Macaca fascicularis: one gene and its partners. The protein of the gene in region 2 purifies or fractionates together with the protein of the main gene of each other region. This does not show direct contact. Links are inferred from orthologs where the notes say so. Each region holds a gene or a part of one and is shown on either strand. Other genes may lie near its edges.

The links. Proteins that work in one complex are often made in the same cells at the same time.
Region 1: the proteins of KDM6A (region 2) and PAXIP1 purify together in Homo sapiens (affinity purification with mass spectrometry; 6 studies listed by BioGRID and IntAct, with this or other methods). This does not show direct contact. The link is inferred for Macaca fascicularis from reciprocal best matches to the Homo sapiens genes KDM6A and PAXIP1.
Region 3: the proteins of KDM6A (region 2) and KMT2C purify together in Homo sapiens (affinity purification with mass spectrometry; 3 studies listed by BioGRID and IntAct, with this or other methods). This does not show direct contact. The link is inferred for Macaca fascicularis from reciprocal best matches to the Homo sapiens genes KDM6A and KMT2C.

The regions. Positions count from the first base shown.
Region 1 is NC_088377.1:196,266,803-196,273,130, forward strand, and holds part of PAXIP1 (PAX-interacting protein 1), read right to left. Parts: intron 4,365-6,328; coding exon 3,617-4,364; intron 3,120-3,616; coding exon 3,025-3,119; intron 1-3,024.
Region 2 is NC_088395.1:45,164,666-45,170,166, reverse strand, and holds the end of KDM6A (lysine-specific demethylase 6A), read right to left. Parts: intron 3,985-5,501; coding exon 3,814-3,984; intron 2,670-3,813; coding exon 2,640-2,669; 3' UTR 1,799-2,639; downstream 1-1,798. UniProt on the Homo sapiens protein: Histone demethylase that specifically demethylates 'Lys-27' of histone H3, thereby playing a central role in histone code. Demethylates trimethylated and dimethylated but not monomethylated H3 'Lys-27'.
Region 3 is NC_088377.1:193,417,956-193,424,283, forward strand, and holds part of KMT2C (histone-lysine N-methyltransferase 2C), read right to left. Parts: intron 4,246-6,328; coding exon 2,521-4,245; intron 1-2,520. UniProt on the Homo sapiens protein: Histone methyltransferase that catalyzes methyl group transfer from S-adenosyl-L-methionine to the epsilon-amino group of 'Lys-4' of histone H3 (H3K4).

The DNA.
Region 1 (6,328 bases), on a different chromosome or scaffold from region 2:
TCCCTGCTTTTCACTCCCCGGAAGCACGTTCAGCACTTGAAGCTGTTTCTTCCGAAAGTATGAATATATTCTACTAACACTTTACATTAGTTCCTTTTCTCTAGTTTACGTGGCCATCTACTGACCTCCTACAGTGCACACCCTTCCCCACCATAACACACACTCTTCAAGCCTTCCTGATTTGGTTATAGCCAGACTCTTGTTTACATCAGTCATCAGTGACTTAACGCAGCCCAGCCACATGGCTTAATATGGCAGCCTAAGATGAGAGTTCCTTTCTGGTATAAACTTTGGTTTTCCCTGGTGCTAATCACTTCCTTATCCCAGCCCCCCAGAATTTGCCCTTTTCTTAGTTTTCTATATACTTTTCACTATTTCATTCCCAAACTCTATGAAAAATGTACATGTGGCGGTTTTATAGTATGTCTGCAAATTACTGTATACTCCCCTAGTCTTAAATATGGTCTAGACTTAGTCATTGAATATGGTGGAATTGACAGTGTGAGTCTCCTGTAACTTATATTTTCTCTTTCGTATGATTTTCTTAATAACATAATAACATTTTCTTTTATTTAGCTTACTTTATTGTAAGAATATGGTAATACATATACAAAATATGCATTAATTGACTGTTTATCACTGAGGCTTCTGGTTAACACCAGGCTATTAGTAATTCTGGCTTTGGGGAGTCAAAAGTGATGTATAGATCTCTGACTGCATGGGGATCAGCACCCCTAGGCTCCACACTGTTCAGGGGTCAGCCGTACATGTCTCTCCTGAATCCACCAGTGTTTTTGTTTGCTTGCTCCTCCAGGAAGTCTCTCTTCCGGTCCCAGGTCTAGTTCTCTCTACACCTACTTTCTCATCTATTAGCGTTTCCCTTCACCTCCATCCTAGGAACTCTCTTGTCATCTCTGAGTCAAACGCCTCATTTCCTGGCTACCAGGTCTCACTCTCTGCTGGCATAGTGGCTTCCTAAGGAAGAATATAACGGAGGTACATTTTCGACCATTAGTGTACAAATATCCTCCTTCCATAGTCTTAGGACTGACAGGCTCTATAGGTTATTTTAGGTTGGAAATTATTTTCCCTCAAAAATGGAAGAAGCTGCTCCGTTGCTGGCCCCCGCGCACTGGACTGGAGGCTCCCGAAATCGCCCTGACTCCTGATCTGTCCACGTTTCCCCTCCAGTGAGCTTGTCTTTGAGAGAAAACAGTTTTCTCTACCAGCATTGTGAACGTTCCCAGTTGCCTTATCACGGCTCTCCTTATATTTCTTTTCTATCTGAGGGCACATGGCCTTCAGCTGCAAAGGTATTTTCTTTCATAACGTTCTTGCCTTCATTTTCTCTGTTCCCGAGCTCCTATTTAATGTTAGACCTCTTGGATAAATCCTTAACTTGAAAACAAGACAAAAAACCCAAACTTTCCTCCACTAACTTTGGTATCTTTGAGTTTTGTCGTACTTCTCAAGACAGTTTCTCAGTGCTGCCTTCAAACACTTCTGACTTTTAAAAAATCTCTGCTGCTGTCCTTCTCAGAACTGCCCCCTTCCTCCCTCCCCCTAGCACATGCCATCCGCCTCTTTCCTCAGCCAACCACAGTCATCTCTCTGGTCACCTTCAGATTCAACCCTTTACTACTTGAAATGCACAGCTGATCACTTCACCTGCATCTAAACTCCACCACATGGCGCATCAACAAGGTCTTGGAAGACATGCCAGCCCTGGCTCCTGCCCCAACCCCTGCCTTGTGGATCCCACTGAGGCACCGTCCTTTGCACCCTCCTGTCAGTTTCCCCAATCACATGCCTTTGGCTGTGCTACACCATTTGGAAAATCCTCCCCTCTAATTCTCACTCCTACTCATCCTATAATAAGCAGTTCAGGAATCACCTCTCCCAGTAGTCTTTTCTTTTCTTTTTTTTTTTTTTTTGAGACGGAGTCTGGCTTTGTTGCCCAGGCTGGAGTGCAGTGGCCGGATCTCAGCTCACTGCAAGCCCCGCCTCCCAGGTTCACGCCATTCTCCTGCCTCAGCCTCCCGAGTAGCTGGGAGTACAGGCGCCCGCCACCTCGCCCGGCTAATTTTTTTTGTATTTTTAGTAGAGACGGGGTTTCACCATGTTAGCCAGGATGGTCTCAATCTCCTGACCTCATGATCCGCCCGTCTCGGCCTCCCAAAGTGCTGGGATTACAGGCTTGAGCCACCGCGCCCGGCCCCAGTAGTCTTTTCTTAACACATCACCCCACAACATGATGGGTGAAGGTCCTTTCTCAGGCTCTCACAACAGCCTGCATCTGCCACCCTGCCTCTGCTTAGCTGTGTGGCTGCCTCTCGCACTGCTCTTTGGTTTTCTCCGTCTGTGATTTCCCACATATTCCCTAGGTCTTGCAGCACGCTTGGCACACAGGTGGGGTTTAAGCACTAGAGATGTTTATAGTGAAGCACGTTCAAGATATATGAGAGGCACATTTAAACTCAGTTTTTATAAAAAAAATTTTTTTTGACTCAGTTTTGTTTTGGGGAATGCAAGAAAAAGTATTTCTTTTCTTTAAAGGCCACCATGCAAAATAATAAATAATTAAATTAACTCCAGTTTCACAATTGGGCTGGAAGAAGTTGAGGTCCTAGAGATTCTGGGATTTTCTAACAGTTACCTCTAGAGAAAGAGAAATGACTGAGATCCACACAAATTAATGGTCCCTCTCCCAGGACACCAAAAACCTGAACTTATTCCCATCGTCCCCATTATACACATATAATTAGTGCCCCTTGGAATTTCCAAGCTGAAAAAATAAGAAGTCTACCATCTTCATCTAACAGCTGAGAAAACTGATGCCCAGAAAAGTGCTGTGCCTGAGGCCACAGGGAATGTTAGTCAAAATGCCCATCACACATTTATAACACATGCAGGTGCAGCTCAGTGAATGCAGCTCAGTGAATGCAGCTCAGTGAACATAGTTACATCTACATAAGAAAGAAGCATCTTCAGATACAGTCGTCCTTCCTCCAGGCACAATCTCACCCTTTTCCAGGTGGCCAGCAGTTGCTTATCAGACATCTGCTCTGGATAATCCGCAATTGCAAACACACATCCCAATAAGAAGCCTTCTTCTGGAACTAGAGTAAAATTATACAAGAAAAAGAAAATTAAAACCCTATGAATATGCTTGCACAAAAGTTAAACAGTGGTGCCTTGCAACGTGATTCTGTTATGTTAATCAGTCTTGACCATGACATATCTACCAGTAATCAGAGTGCATGGGGAATATTGCTACAAAGATACTAGTTATCTGTCTACATCAAATAATCATTAAAAACTGAAACCAACGTAACTCATGCCTGGCCATTAAATACCCTGAAGGAGTCCCTGTGGCAGCCTAGGTGTTCTACGGGACACCAATATTCACTTCAGCATATGATGTCCCAAAGTACAAAAGAAAGCATAATTATCCCATGGTAACGATATTCTTTGTTAGGTATGAGACTCACACTCTCCATGTTGTAATAATTGTGTTGACATGAATCCTTACCCCACACTCAAACACTCTCAAAGCATTTATGTGAGTACAAGACTTTTAGGAGAGAGGGAAAAAAAAAAAATCTCCATTACTAACTCTCCACTGCTGGATCATGTCCAAAAAGCTGATGATGCTGAGGTGGTGGTGGTGGTGGCTGCTGTTGCTGCTGCTGCTGCGGGGGCTGCTGAGGTGGAACCTGATGCTGCAGCGCCTGTGACGTCTGACTCAAGTGTGGCGCCGTCTGGCTTTGCATCTGCTGCTGCTGGTGCATGCGCTGGAGCTGCTGCTGCTGGAGCTGCTGCTGCTGAATCTGCTGTTGCTGCTGCTGCTGCTGCTGGAGCAGGCTGTGTTGCTGCTGGAGCTGGGCGAGCTGCTGCTGCTGGAGCTGGTGCTGCTGCAGCTGATGGAACTGCTGCTGCAAGGCATGCTGCTGCTGAAAGGGCTGGAGCTGCTGCTGAGGGCGATGCAGCTGCTGTGGAGGATGCAACTGTTGCTGTGGAAACTGTAGCTGCTGCTGTGAAAACTGATGCGGATGGGCTTGCTGCTGCTGCTGCTGTTGCTGTGAAAACGGATGTGGTGGCTGCTGGGGGTAAGGTTGCTGAGAAATCTGCTGCTGCTGCTGCTGCTGCTGCTGGAGCTGCATTATCTGCTGGGGCTGAAGGTGTAAAACCGGGTGCTGTTGCTGCTGCTGCTGCTGGGCCTGCTGCTGCTGCTGTAGCATGTGTGTCTCTGGAGTCACTTTCACTTGGCTAAACAGCACTGCATTGGCATTTGTATGTCCCTGCTGGCTGTGATTCACCTGCTGTTCTAAATTTTTCGTAGGTGCTGAAAGCGTCTGTAAGATCTACAAAACAAGTTGGGTGAAACATTATCAGTCGTTCCTGAAACAGACGGATGATAATTTCTTAGTCATGAGAATAATAGCATCCTATTTATTAACAATATTCAACCAAGCAGACACAGCAAATGACTGGAAACTTCAAAATAATACTGCATTTTCTTTTGTATTTATTTTGTAACACCAATATCATAAAGTACATTCACATATTGAGACCACCAAAATTTGAAACTACGTTAGTAAAATGGAGTAAACTAACGAATTAAAGTGACAAAGACTCAGACGGCTGATGTGCTTGCCAGAGCAAGGCGTGTGAGTCCTGTGCACAAGTGGAGGCTAAGCCTCGGTGCTCCCTGCACTGTCCGCAGCGCCTCTCCACTGCCCATCGCCCACATCAGCTCCGCAGACCCTCTCCTGGCCCAGGAATGCACTGAGGAATGACAGGTGGTGAAAGCATCTGGTAATCAGGTTCAGCTTCACCTCAAACCTTCTCGCCACAGCTGCCACTTCCCATTTCCTCTTGTCTTACAGCCCAGAGTCTAGTAAAGAAAGGTTCTCAGTGAATCACCTTCCTGATGAAAGCAGCATGACCTAAGCTGTGACTCCAAGAGCCCTTCGCTCCACTGTCAACTTGCTATGTACACTGGCATTCTTCAGAAAAGGAGGCCAGCTAAGACACCACCAGAGCTGTTTCAATGGTGATGTTTCTCCCAACTAAGAACTCATCATTAGAGTTGGGAAATGATGCTTCCTCAAAAATGACTGAGTTCTTCATGTGGGACAAAAATATTTCAAGCTAGAAAAAAAGAATTCAAACCAGACTCTTTGTTTTCTAGCTCTTTCTGCTTCACAATGACAGGGAATAGGCTGAGAGTTCTGCGTACACTGAGGAGTAGGAGAAGGACGGTGACCAGCAGATGCCCACCAAGAAGAGCAAGTTATTTTTTTAATATCCTGTAGTGTACTGAATACAACAAAAGATACATGTTATACAATGAATTTTGTTCCACATGCTCAAGCAACAAAAATTTGAAACCAACTTCTTATGGTCATGGAAATCAGTAAAAATAGATTTTACTAAACTCAATCCATATAACTTTTAACCCTAATAAAAGCATTTAAAATGTAAACAAAATTCTAGGAATTTGATTTTAACACATATCAGAACTATAACAAAATCTCAAACATATTCTAACATGTATCTTTCACTTAAACAGACTCCAAATTGCAAAGGTTATATGACCTGCAAGGGTAACAGATTTTGGGTTTAGTGATAAATAATTGTGTTTAGAATTGAAATAAGTCAAAATCAAGAGCTTAGGTACAACCATCTTTAGAATCACCTTATGTATGAAACATCTCTATGAGATTCAAGACTTCAGAAACACCTGAGTGGAACTCTAAGCAGAAAAATGTCTTTTAAACAAAATAATAAGACAACTGTTTCATCTCCATATTTAAAAGTATTTTTAAAAATCCAGAAAAGAAGAGGGGAAAATTCACCCCATCACATGCCATCCCCCGGAGCCCAGCAGCATTTGGTGCTGTGCGAACACCCCCTAGAGAAGCATGCATGTGTGGGGCACCTGCTTGCCTGGTGGGCACCAGCCATGAGCCCTACACGGCAAACTGCTGGAAATAGCAGCTGCCTCTTGAGAAGGTAAACAGCAATGAGGGGTGGGAGGGGGCGGACAGTTTAACTGTTCACTCTGTCCTTTGGTATCATTTGAATTTTTGAATTTTGTACACATATTACTTTTTTACCCTCATATGTAAACAGCCCATGGAACTCTGAGGGATAGTAAAGAAATAAATGCCCATCTGCAGGTGGACAGGGCTGAACCAGTCATTCACCACATGCTGCTCCCCGCGCCTCTACACCTGCCAACTCCAGGAGAAAGGGAGCTCAGGACCTAGACAAACACAGCAGCAGACATCAGGACAGAACAGAGGCCAGAGGCTCCTGTTTT
Region 2 (5,501 bases):
TGCGTTCCTATTTAACTGGTGGCAATGGGAAAAGTATGATTTAGCTCCCACTTTCTGGATCACATCTACTTTTTCTATGCACTGTGTGATTAGCTTTTTTCTCTAAAAACGTGTGTATTAGGATGTAAACTTGTTTCATTATTAAGGCACCTAGAGTGTGCCTTAATGGGACTTGCCTATACAAATAGTAAAAAGAAAAAAAGATTATTCTGTCTTCTAAAATCTTAAAAATGCAATTATAAAGGATGTTCAATTGAAGATAAAAAAGCAGTTTGTGATTTCAATTATCTAATTGTATTTCAGAGTAATGTTGATGTGTTTGATTTTTACTCCCAATCCTCTACCCAAGACTAGGTTCCTGAATAAGTATTATTCTTGACATAGAATCCAAATATGAATTATACTAAATTTCTCTTAAATGTCAGATAATTTATCTAAATGTCAGATAACTTATTCTCTTAAATGTCAGATAAATTAATCTTGGCAATAAACTATCTTAAAATCATAGAAAATAAGACAGTGTCAGTAAGATAAACTAGAACAGGTTAAGAAACATTTAGGTAGTGGTTCAGCATTCTTATAATCTTTGCTTCTTGATGGTTGGCTTGCAATTTTCGTTTGCAAAAATGTTCGTCTTGAGTTATTCTCAATAACCTTTGGATAGGAGATTTTACAAGAAAACCACTTAAAAATATTAGTGATTAAATGTCCTGAATAGCATTTAGACAAGCATTCTTGCTCCATAATTAAAATAGATTTGGAATTCTTTCCTTCTGAAATTATAATTAAGAGATGATTACTTCTAGTAGATAGCCAATATTTACCAAATTATTAACTAGTCGAAAAAAGTATCTCCATGCTTTCAACCTTCAAACTGTTTCTAAGAGGACAACATACTCTAAATCTGAAAGAGTATGTGATTAATGCAATCAGCAGGGCATTTCACTAGAAATAGAATAAGCTCTCTTTAGCCATATCTATATAATCTTGATTTACAGCATTCTCTATTCTCTATGCTTCTTCACTAATGCTTCCTGGAAAATTCATACAAAGAACAATATGATTAAATGAGAGTATGTGTCAAATGCTTCAGAAAATGGAGGTACAAATGCAAGGTGCTGTTATTACAAAATGAAATACTATCATTAATTAGCAGTGACTTGTGAACGCTAATATAGATTGCTATATTTTACTAGTGATGGGGAATTTGCAGCACTCCTCCCCCAAATCATGTCATGCAAGCAAAAAAGCATGAGATTTCAAAATTGCCTAACATTAAAAAATAAGTCTCTTAATTTATTTTCATTCTAAAATAGAGCCCTTCATCCTGAATCCCCTTTTCCATATAAAATGTTACTAAGTCATGTACAGGATTTGTCAAGCCCATATAACATTCCTTTTAAAATCTTAAGTTCAATCACTATTTGTTTTCTACTATTATACTACATTTTGGCAGCAATTGTTTATTGGTCTGTCATTGCAGTAATTGCAACTTAACAATAAACCAGTCTGACATTTTAGGTCTTGAGGATACATACCATATATATTTCTTTAAAAATAATCATACTTTTTGTAAGCAATACTTTACAGTAGACACCTCAAAAATCTACCATAGATGTGAAACTTAAAACGAGAAAAATTTAAGTTCTAAATATTTATACATATATATCCAGATTTCTATATATATTATATATACATACATAAGTATATATAAAATATATATAATCAGATTTCAAAAATGAACAAAAACTGGGCACTGTACATAAAGTCTTTTTAAAACTCAAACAATAGAAAACTCTTTAAACATTAAACAATTTTAATAAAAGTTTCTGTACAATGCTAAGCAGTTTTATTTACACATAGAAAATGTAATAGGAGTAGTGTTTGAAATTACAGAACTCCTTAAAATTTCAATGGCAGGTAAATCTGGAAAAAATAACAGCATTCCATTCACAAATATTTTCAAGCAATAAATATGTATTTATAAATAGTGTAAATTTACATCAAGATTAGAAACAAAAATCACAAATCTGAAGTTTATTCCTTAGTCTATGTGCAATCCATTACCTTTGTGACTTGGCTGTTAATTTTTTTAATGTTTTATTTAGGAACCAAAAGTGTAACCATTATGGTCTCAAAACAAGACAGAAAAACATAAAAGCAGTAAAAAAGTGTCTTACCTAACTTTTCACATTAAAAAAAAGTTGACCAAAGAAAGACTTAAAATTGCTAACTACCTTACAAAGAAATGACCAGCTAGGCTAGTATTTTTTTTCCAAGGAAAATTCTGAAGGGGGAAAAGACAGATGAAAACAAATTCATCAGCCCAGAAATAGAGAAATATAAAAGAGGTTGTCTTCAAGTCAGTAGTCTGTAAGATGTTGCCAGTTTTGTCAGATATATACAAAACATGGAAATTATTATTTTTTTGTGAAGTACAGCTGATGAGCTTTGTGAGAGTCCTGGAGTAGGAACAGTACTCTCTCCCGTCCAGCTGGTTGACACTCCGCACTTGGAAGGTTGCATAGACACAGTTTTCAGCCAGCAGCCTTACGAGATAGCTACAAAAACCAGTGGTGCAGAAGTGGGTTATTTCCTGAATAGCAGAAAAGGTCTCATTTAATGTCCATGGAACAATATCAAGATGAGGCGGATGGTAATGGAGGAGCCTGAAAATAAAAGTAAGGTAGGTTATTTTGATATACAAATTGTTAATAGCTCATGGCTACAAACATATAGTCTGCTTATGAAGTCAGGGGAAATAACTCTCAAAAAGTTCACCAGCCTGCTACACAACATAAAAGTACAACCTACCTTACTATCTCCCATTCAGCCAATTTTCCTAAGAGTCTAAGACCATTATCCTACTCAGCGTACTTGCAATTTTCTATATTTCTTCACCAATTAGTCAAAAACTCTTGGAATGTTATTAAGTTTACCGTTTCTTAAGATTGCTTAAAAAAAGGGGGGCTTCTTGAAAAATAATTTAACAAGTTACAATTTCACTAGTGACTGTCTTCAGAATCTATCTCAGCTAGGTAATATATTTTCTTCAACATAGTCCAGATAATTTTCTTCTTCAAGCAATCTTGAAGACTATTCAAGTGAAAATATCAGAAACTAAATTTCAAAAAGTTAGTTTCTGATCACATATGTGTGGGAGACAAGTACTGGAGAAAATCAACAATTCATAAATTATCTCTGTTTCTATTCATAAAGCTATTGATCTGCTAAAGTAAAATGCTTCCCCCAAGCATCTGCTGTCTGAAATTAAAAACTGTGTGCAATTTATAAGTATACTTGAATTTCATAAGGTTATATAACATACCAGGAAGTTAAGCTCCATTAAATATTCCCATGAGGTTAATACTTCTGGCAAGGACAAAATTTTAAACAAATACAATTAGCTCTAAAAGCAGAAGTATATTTAAAAGCACATTTACTGATTCATTTTGTGGGCTCTAATAACCTACGTACACAAACATTTTATCAACTTATCAACTGAGATAAAATGACATAAAGGATATGATAGTGTTCCATCTAAAGCACGTGAAGATTTTTAAATGTAATTGTTGTAAAATTATTTAGGCTGGTCTTACCCAGGAAGAAAACTGAAAATGATATATGCCAATTTTATAGGAATAAATACTTGGAAATGGAGGGGGGAATGATATGAATACACCCTCATGCAATATGTAATGAGCCAAAGGGAAATTTAAAATATTTCATTACCTCCTACTTATCAGGTGGCAGAACAAACACTGCTGCTTCATAACCCAGCTAACTATGTACTCACATGTTGATTTGACTTACTAATGTAAATTGGTCATAGACTTGCATCAGGTCCTCCATTTTGTACTGTTCTAGCACCACAAAGTTTTCCAGGTTTCCGCTTGTTTTTCGTGCACAATCTTGGCAATGTACTATGTAGGTCTTTCGTGAATTACTCTCATTAGTGACAAAAAGCAAATCAAAAACCTCCACCTGTTTTATACAAGAGAAAAACGTATTCAATAGAGATGGTGGTATTCACTGTACTGCTTTAGTATAATCATGGAATTCTACTTGAATGAAATTGTGGACAGTGATCTCTGGTTAAGAGTAGGTGGTAAGAAAAACATGGCTGTGTTTGAGACTCTTTAACAGACCAGGTTTATTTTGCACCAAATCCAAAGACATGGGTAGTAATGCATAGTTAGGGGAATAATCAAAGGGAATGACATACTCATGTCATTGAACCCAGTTCAAAAGTTTGATAAAGGTCAACCTATTTTTAAATCTAAAACATTAGCATACAATCAGATGTAAGTGATCATTTTTATGTATTCATGAGTACAGCATGATTTTAGAAATAATACCTCTGTCTTATACAGAAAGATTGATGAGTTGCTAGGGTTCAGGTAGGATAAGGAACATCGCATCTAACTGGAATCTATCTGATCTCCTAATGACTTACTTTGGTCAGGTCATACAACATTAAAAAAAAAAAATCAATGGATTCAATCATTTCAAATACAGGTTGATGTTAGAATTACAGAATTTCAAGGTTTGAAATGAACCATCAACAACCTGTCTTTGGCTTATCCTTAAATTTCTTCAATGACAGAAAACTCTTACGATCTCATGTCTTCTTTTAACAGTAAACGACAATCCTAGAGTTCACCATGTTATCCATTACTGTCAACAGGCAGCAATACAAACCTAGTGACCTGAGCTAGAAAATTGGTGAGCATTCAACTTGTCCTTCTACTTCTGCCATTTAATGAGGTGTCTCACTGATTTTACCCTCTAAATATTTTTTAATTCTTTCCCTTCTTTAATATTCCCATTGCCAGGTTCTAGTCTAGGCCTTAAAATAACAACTCTTAAGACCACTGCAATAGCTTATATATCACTGTCCTTTCCAACCACTTTTCTCCCTGAAACACATATCTCACCCTTAGCTGCTTGCTCAAAACCTTTTAATGGCTTCAGTGACCTTGGATTATCAAATTCCTTAAAACCATTCAAGATGTGCTACAAATTACATGCCACCTAGACTTACGAGTGGAATTTGCACAGTCTGTGTTCCAGCCAAATTGGAACACATTCAACCTTTTCTAAAACCTTTCCATTTCCCCGTTCTCTTCTTGTTCCTATAGCCCATGACAGTCTACTTCCGATTCTCATCACTTTTTTAGCCTACTGATATCATACTCTTTTTTCAAGGACGGACTCAAATGCTAATACTTTTGTGAATTCTTATGCCAATACTAGAAGAAAAAAATCAGGTCATTTTCCCCCTCAGTGTTATCATTAAGTCCAACTTCACATTCATCATAGTCTCATGTACATTACAATTAGTTGTTTATAATCTCTCTGCTCCAAGTAGAATTTAAGCTCCTTCATAGCAGGCGCCACATCTTTGTTCCTACACCTCTTGCAAGCCTTGGCCACACAATATTGACAAATATATTGTGAATTGCACCAGAGAGGACTGATAATCGATCTGCCTAGAGTTA
Region 3 (6,328 bases), on a different chromosome or scaffold from region 2:
TTAGGTGAGAGAACAGATAGCACCACACAACAATAAAAAGAAAAAACAGCATTTCTTCAAATTAGTTCACAACTATATTTGACTGAAAAATAATGGCCACATACTTAAAGTCAATGGGAGAGAACCTAGATGATAACAAATAAACCTTTTCTTTACATTTATCATTACAAAGTGAGAATAAGCCAAGCCCTGAAAAGGCCTTTAAGAGTAGTCCTATCAATACCTTAAAATAAAGGAATATTTTCAGGCTCCATTATTTCTAAATTTAACAGCAATACTTTGCTATAGACAACTATAGTAGCTGAACTTACTGTAATGAATTCTGTATCGAATCTTTGAGGGTTCTGAAAATTAGTTTCCAGTTATATTCTAAATAGTTTAGCGCATAGATGGCAACATTTTTATGTAAAGAGCCAGATGGTAAATACTGTAAGCCTTTGTAGGCCATATAGCCCCTGGCATAATTACTCAACTCTGTCCTTGTACTTCAAAAGCAGCTATAAACAATTCATACAAAAATGAGCTTGGCTGTGTTCAAATAAAACTTTTAAAATTCACGGACACGTCTGAATTTTGTGTAATTTTTATGTGTCACAAAATACTACTCTTCCTTAGATTTTTTTTCAACCATTTAAAAATGTAAAAGCCATTCTTAGCTCATGGAGGGAGACGAAAGCAGGCTCAGACTACTCATCTCCAGGCTAGTTCTGTGGCTCTCAAGGGGAGTCTCCAGGGCAGAAGCAGCATCTAGAACTGGTTTAGAAATGCAGATTATCGGGTCCCACCCACACCAACAGAATCAGAAATGCTGGGGCCCAGCAATCTTGGTTTAACAAGCCCTGATAGTGATCCTCACACTTTAGCTTTGAGAATCACCGGCCTACAGCAATACTTCTCCACCTTCAGATGCACAGGAGTCACCTGGGGATCTTGCTAAGTCTCACGTTCTGAGAAGCAGGTCTGTGGTGGGAGACTCTGCATGTTACAAAGCTCCCACCCGATGTGGATGCTGCGGATCCCCAAGGACTGCACTTTGAGGGGCAAGAACCTAAAAATTTCTTAATTATATATGTGTATATATAGACTTAAATAACTATATACATACATATATACTTATTTATTTAAATCACACTTTAATTAGGGGGGGCCTACATTTTTAAACTTGACATGTGGTTGTTCCCCATAGCATTACACATTCTTATACAGCACGAATTTTAATATAAACATGCTCAAAATGTAGTCTACATCCTTCAAGGAGCTATTTAAATAATGTTAAATGGTACAACAGAAACTGCTATGTGAGAACATGGGCATCAACACATATTTGAGATTGGAAGAGGTGAGAAAGGTATCTGGAAAAAGATGATTCAAGAACTGCGTTTTAAAAGATAAAAATATATTGGCCAGACATATATAAGAAAGGAGAACAGAAGAGGCAGAAGCAGCAGCATGTGGTATACATAGAAGGGTAAAAAGACAGAAGACTGCAAGTTATTCGATACTCCTCCGGGTATAAGATGTCTTAGAGAAAGCGGATGGAGACTGTGCTGGAGAGTTGGCTGTATTTACTGGTGACAAATAACTGTAAAAGCATAACCGCTAAAATTTACAATAATTACACAGGTCTACCAAGTCAACACTCAATCTTTACTGAATGGTCAAAGGCAAGAGAAAGAGCAACACTTGCAAAAAGATGAGCTTCATTAACAATCTTAAAACGAAAAAACTGGACAACTAAATATACACTCCACCCTTAATTAAAATATGAAAATAAAATCCAATTTGAGAAGCTCTCTAGGGACAGCTTTATGAATGCACTGGTAATGGCGCTGTACCTTCTGAAAGATACAAAAGGCAAGAGCTATTAAACAGACCAATTCCCATGACTCAGAAACTCCAGTTTTGGAAATATCTTAATGAAGTTAACTGAAATAAAGGGGAGGGATTCTTGTAAAGGTATATTTACGACTTAGCTCTTCATATAAAAGAAAGAAAAAGCAAATTCAATGTTAATAACTTAAAACTGATAGAAAATTGATACATGGAAAACTACAAAATAGCATCCACATGTAACATTACGTTAAGTATCAATGCAACACTGTAACACAACAGGTTCCCAGTGTGGTATCCCGAAGAGTGCCAAGGGTATTCATAGGAGTGCACGGGCTATCCTCCGTATTTTAAAGAGGTGAATGGAAATTAATCACTTATTTACAATAAAGTACATAGACATTTACTTACTTTGCTTTAGTCATATCAACCAGTTGCTACACATCACATTACATATGAAATGCAATACATGCCTTTGCCTTTTAAAAAACAGTAAACAAATTATTTAATATAGTTTAGATATAAGTAAAAACATGGGTTCCAGAGAGGTAGAAATGATAAAATAAGAAATGGTCCTTTAGAATAAAAAGGTTGTAGAATAATGTGGAAATATAGTTGTTGGTACTAATCTGCTGTAAGTATAATTTAAAACAAAAGAAAAAAGTTGTCATTTTTATCATTTACACTTACCAGTCCTTCAGCTGGGTTCTGCTTCTCAACTAGTTTATTATCCTTCGTACAGTCATCTTCTGAACAAATATTGCCCTCAGGTTTTTGATTTAAAAGAGAAGATGACTTTTTATTTTTCAATAAGTGTTTCAGAAGTTCATTCCCTGAGTCTCCTTTGGCAGCAGGGGCCCCAACAGAATGGGGAGGACTCTGTGCTGAGGAGACAGGACAGGCTACAGCATTTCCTTCTACCTTACTACCACTCTGTTCCTCCAATTTAGGCTCCTCTTGGCCCGGGCATGACTCTGTCTCAGGCTTTTCCAGTTTTATCTCTTCTGTTTTGGCAGGGGTTTCCATGGAGAGCTTATCTACTTCTGAATTTGCATAAGTCTGTTGATTTGGAGTTGCTTGAGAGAAATCACTATTGGGCAGTTTGTTCTCTACTTCTGTACATAGCTGGCCTGCTGCCATACTGGGAGTGGATGGGCCGACTCGTTCCACCGACTCTTGGTCGGCCTGTTGAGGAAGCTCACTGGGTGTGCTCACTGCAGGAGTAGAGGTAGTTTCTGAGATGCTTGGAGTCGGTGGAGCAGTTATATCTGAATGGGGAGTTGATGGAGCCTTGGTGGATTCTGCATCATCATCTCTTTTCTTTTTTCTTGTTCTTTTCTTTTTCCCTTTTTCCTCTGGGATTATATCAGAATACAACTGAATAAGCGATTGGGTTGATGCCGGATAACTGTGTCCATGGGTTATAGTAGAATCTTGGCCACATGGGAGACTGCTATTAGCTACTGGAGGTGCTGCTGGTAAAGCAGGTGTAAAAGAAGGCCTCACTGGAGACTGTTGGAAGCTGGTCCCAGAAAGACTTCCATGTCCCTGCTTAACAGAAGAAAAATTTGGGCTTCCAACAGGGATTGATGGTGAATCAGGAACAAATGAAGGAGGTCCTACCTGCCTTCGCTCATTAGTCTGCATGAAAGTTTGGGTGGAGGGTGAATTAATCGATCCTTGTTGTATATTCTGTTGCTGTAAAACCTGTCCCATTTGCTGTTGGTGTTGTGGAGACTGCTGAAGGGGTCTTGGAGGTTGCATAAAATCGCAAGGTAAGTCAGAACTGTAGAAGGGAATCTGGGACACAGATGTCCTACTACTACTTATCTCAGAGCCCACCATGCCATGCTGCTCCATTTCCATCCTCTGCTGCAAAGCTCTTTGTCTATCTACCTCTTGCATGAGTTGGATCCGTTGTCTCTCTTGCTGTTCTCGTAAACGTTCCTTACGTTCCCGTTCTTGAAAACTTTCACTAAAGGGATTGTTGTCATCAAATTCTACCCGAGGTGGTGGTCCACTCTGTGGATTTGCATTTGAGACTGTCCCTGGGGCTGGTGTACAAGTTTTTATTGGTAACTGGGCAACTGGGGGTTGAATTCTAGGAGGATTGAGGGGCAGGTGGGCAGGAGCACTGTTGGGCTGCCACCCAGGTAAATTAGGCATTCTAACAGGGCTAGTATGGCCAGAAATAACTGTTGTGTGCTGCTGGTGCTGGTGCTGAAGCTGCTGTGGCACCATGGGAAAGGAGGGTTGGCTCATGGTGGGTGGAGTGGCACCTGGAATTAGGGGTGGCTGGGGCTGGACACTGGGCATCATGGTAGGTGGGGCCATCGCACATTGCTGCTGCTGTTGCTGCTGTTTGATCCGATAATCTTCAATCAATTCAGCGTGTTCTTTCTGTTGTTTACGAATCTGGAATAACAAAATGCCTCATTACTCATTTATATACAGCAAAGGTATTGAAGTAAAACACTGGCTGATGACTTTGGTTGAGGTTATACAGAGGGCAGTTTGGCCCCGTAGAAGCAAACATATTTTGCTTGGGTAACTGCAAAAGTCACAAAAAAGTTGAACTGATGAGGCTTAACTAATGACTATCAATCTTTCTTTAACAACAGGATTTTTATAAAGTTATCTGTAAAAGCGCTTCACATATGAAATATCAAAAACGGTTTTGTAAAATAAGTATTAAAATCTTGTGAAACTCATATATACTATTTATACTATACATCAAAAATACACAATAAAAAAAAGTTACACAAGCAGCTAATTTTGATGTTCTAGAAATTACATTAATACACAATGTTAGAATAACAGACTTAACTCAAACTTGAATCATTTAAATATGTTAAGATTTCATTTCTTAAATATATAAATTGTACAACATTTTAAGACAAGATGAATTACCAGCATGAGTATCACACCATCCGCCCAGATGAAAAAGACTAAGTTTATAGAACACTTTCAATTTAATGGCTAACACTCAAATTGTAATTTTTGAAATCTACACAAGCTCTGAGGTAGTATTTTGAATAGTCTATAGTCTTTTTTTTTTTTTTTGAGACAGAATCTCGCTCTGTTGCACAGGCTGGAATGCGGTGGCCGGATCTCAGCTCACTGCAAAGCTCCACCTCCCAGGTCCATGCCATTCTCCTGCCTCAGCCTCCCGAGTAGCTAGGACTACAGGCACCCACCACCATGCCTGGCTAATTTTTTGTATTTTTAGTAGAGACGGGGTTTCACCATGTTAGCCAAGATGCTCTTGATCTCCTGACCTCGTGATCTGCCCACCTCGGCCTCCCAAAGTGCTGGGATTACAGGCGCGGGCCACCGCGCCCGGCAACAGTCCCTTAATATAACAGCTGAGTAATATCAATTAATTCATTCCAAAAACCTTTGTGTCCCAATGTGCTCAATACTACAGACCAAGTATCAACCAAAATGGAATCTATGTTCCAGAGGACCTCACCATCTCATTCAGCAAGCTAGAGAAAGAAGGAATGCAAAATGATGTGTATATCTTTCAACATCATTCAATTTTTAGACAAATATGCTAATATGCTAAACCCAGGAGTTCTAATCATTTTTCAAAGTATTTTCTTGGGTTCCCCAGGTAAACCAGTATTTTCTGCAAATAATGATGTTTGATCTCTTCTTCAACAGTTGTGTAACACCTATTTTATTTTCTTATTTTTCCTGGCCAGTTTACTGGTTAGAACTGAGAAATTACCATTGGTTGGTGAAGTAGTAAGGAAGTACAGAAAGCACCTATAACAGCATCTGGGATATATAAGGTGGTCATCCATGTCTTTCCCATGATATTTTATAATACTTTTTAAAACATTACCATCAACTGCTTATCTTAATATGATTACACTGGATCTTTGGCAACTATGTAATAGATGATGTATCCCATTTTTCAAGTATTAGCTTCTAAATAGGATTTGATCTATGGATATGCAAAAATTAGGCCCTTATCAAAAGACCTTGTACAAATATGCCAGAAGGCAATAAAAGTGACAAAAAACAAAAACTTTATTAAACATATCTTTACAAGAATATTAACCTACAGTAAACATGAACCCAGAGAGTAGATTTAAAGAGAAAAGAAAACTTTCATTCTGGAATAATCTTAGTTTTAAACAATTGGAATTATAATCACCTTATTGTTGGTACGTTATTGTGGTAGCTGCGGTTTGAAGATAAGACACTTGAGTCCAAATCCCTAATCTAATAGTTATGAGCAAACATGTACAGTGGGGGTATTTTTTGGGATTTTTTTTTTTTTTTGAGACAGAGTTTCGCTCTTGTTGCCCAGGCTGGAGTGCAATGGCGCAATCTCGGCTCACTACAGCCTCCACCTCAAGGGTTCAAGCAATTCTCCTGCCCCAACCTCCCAAGCAGCTGGGATTACAGGTGCCTGCCACCATGCCTGGATAATTTTTTGCATTTTTAGTAGAGATGGGTTTCGCCATGGTGGCCAGGCTGGTCTCAA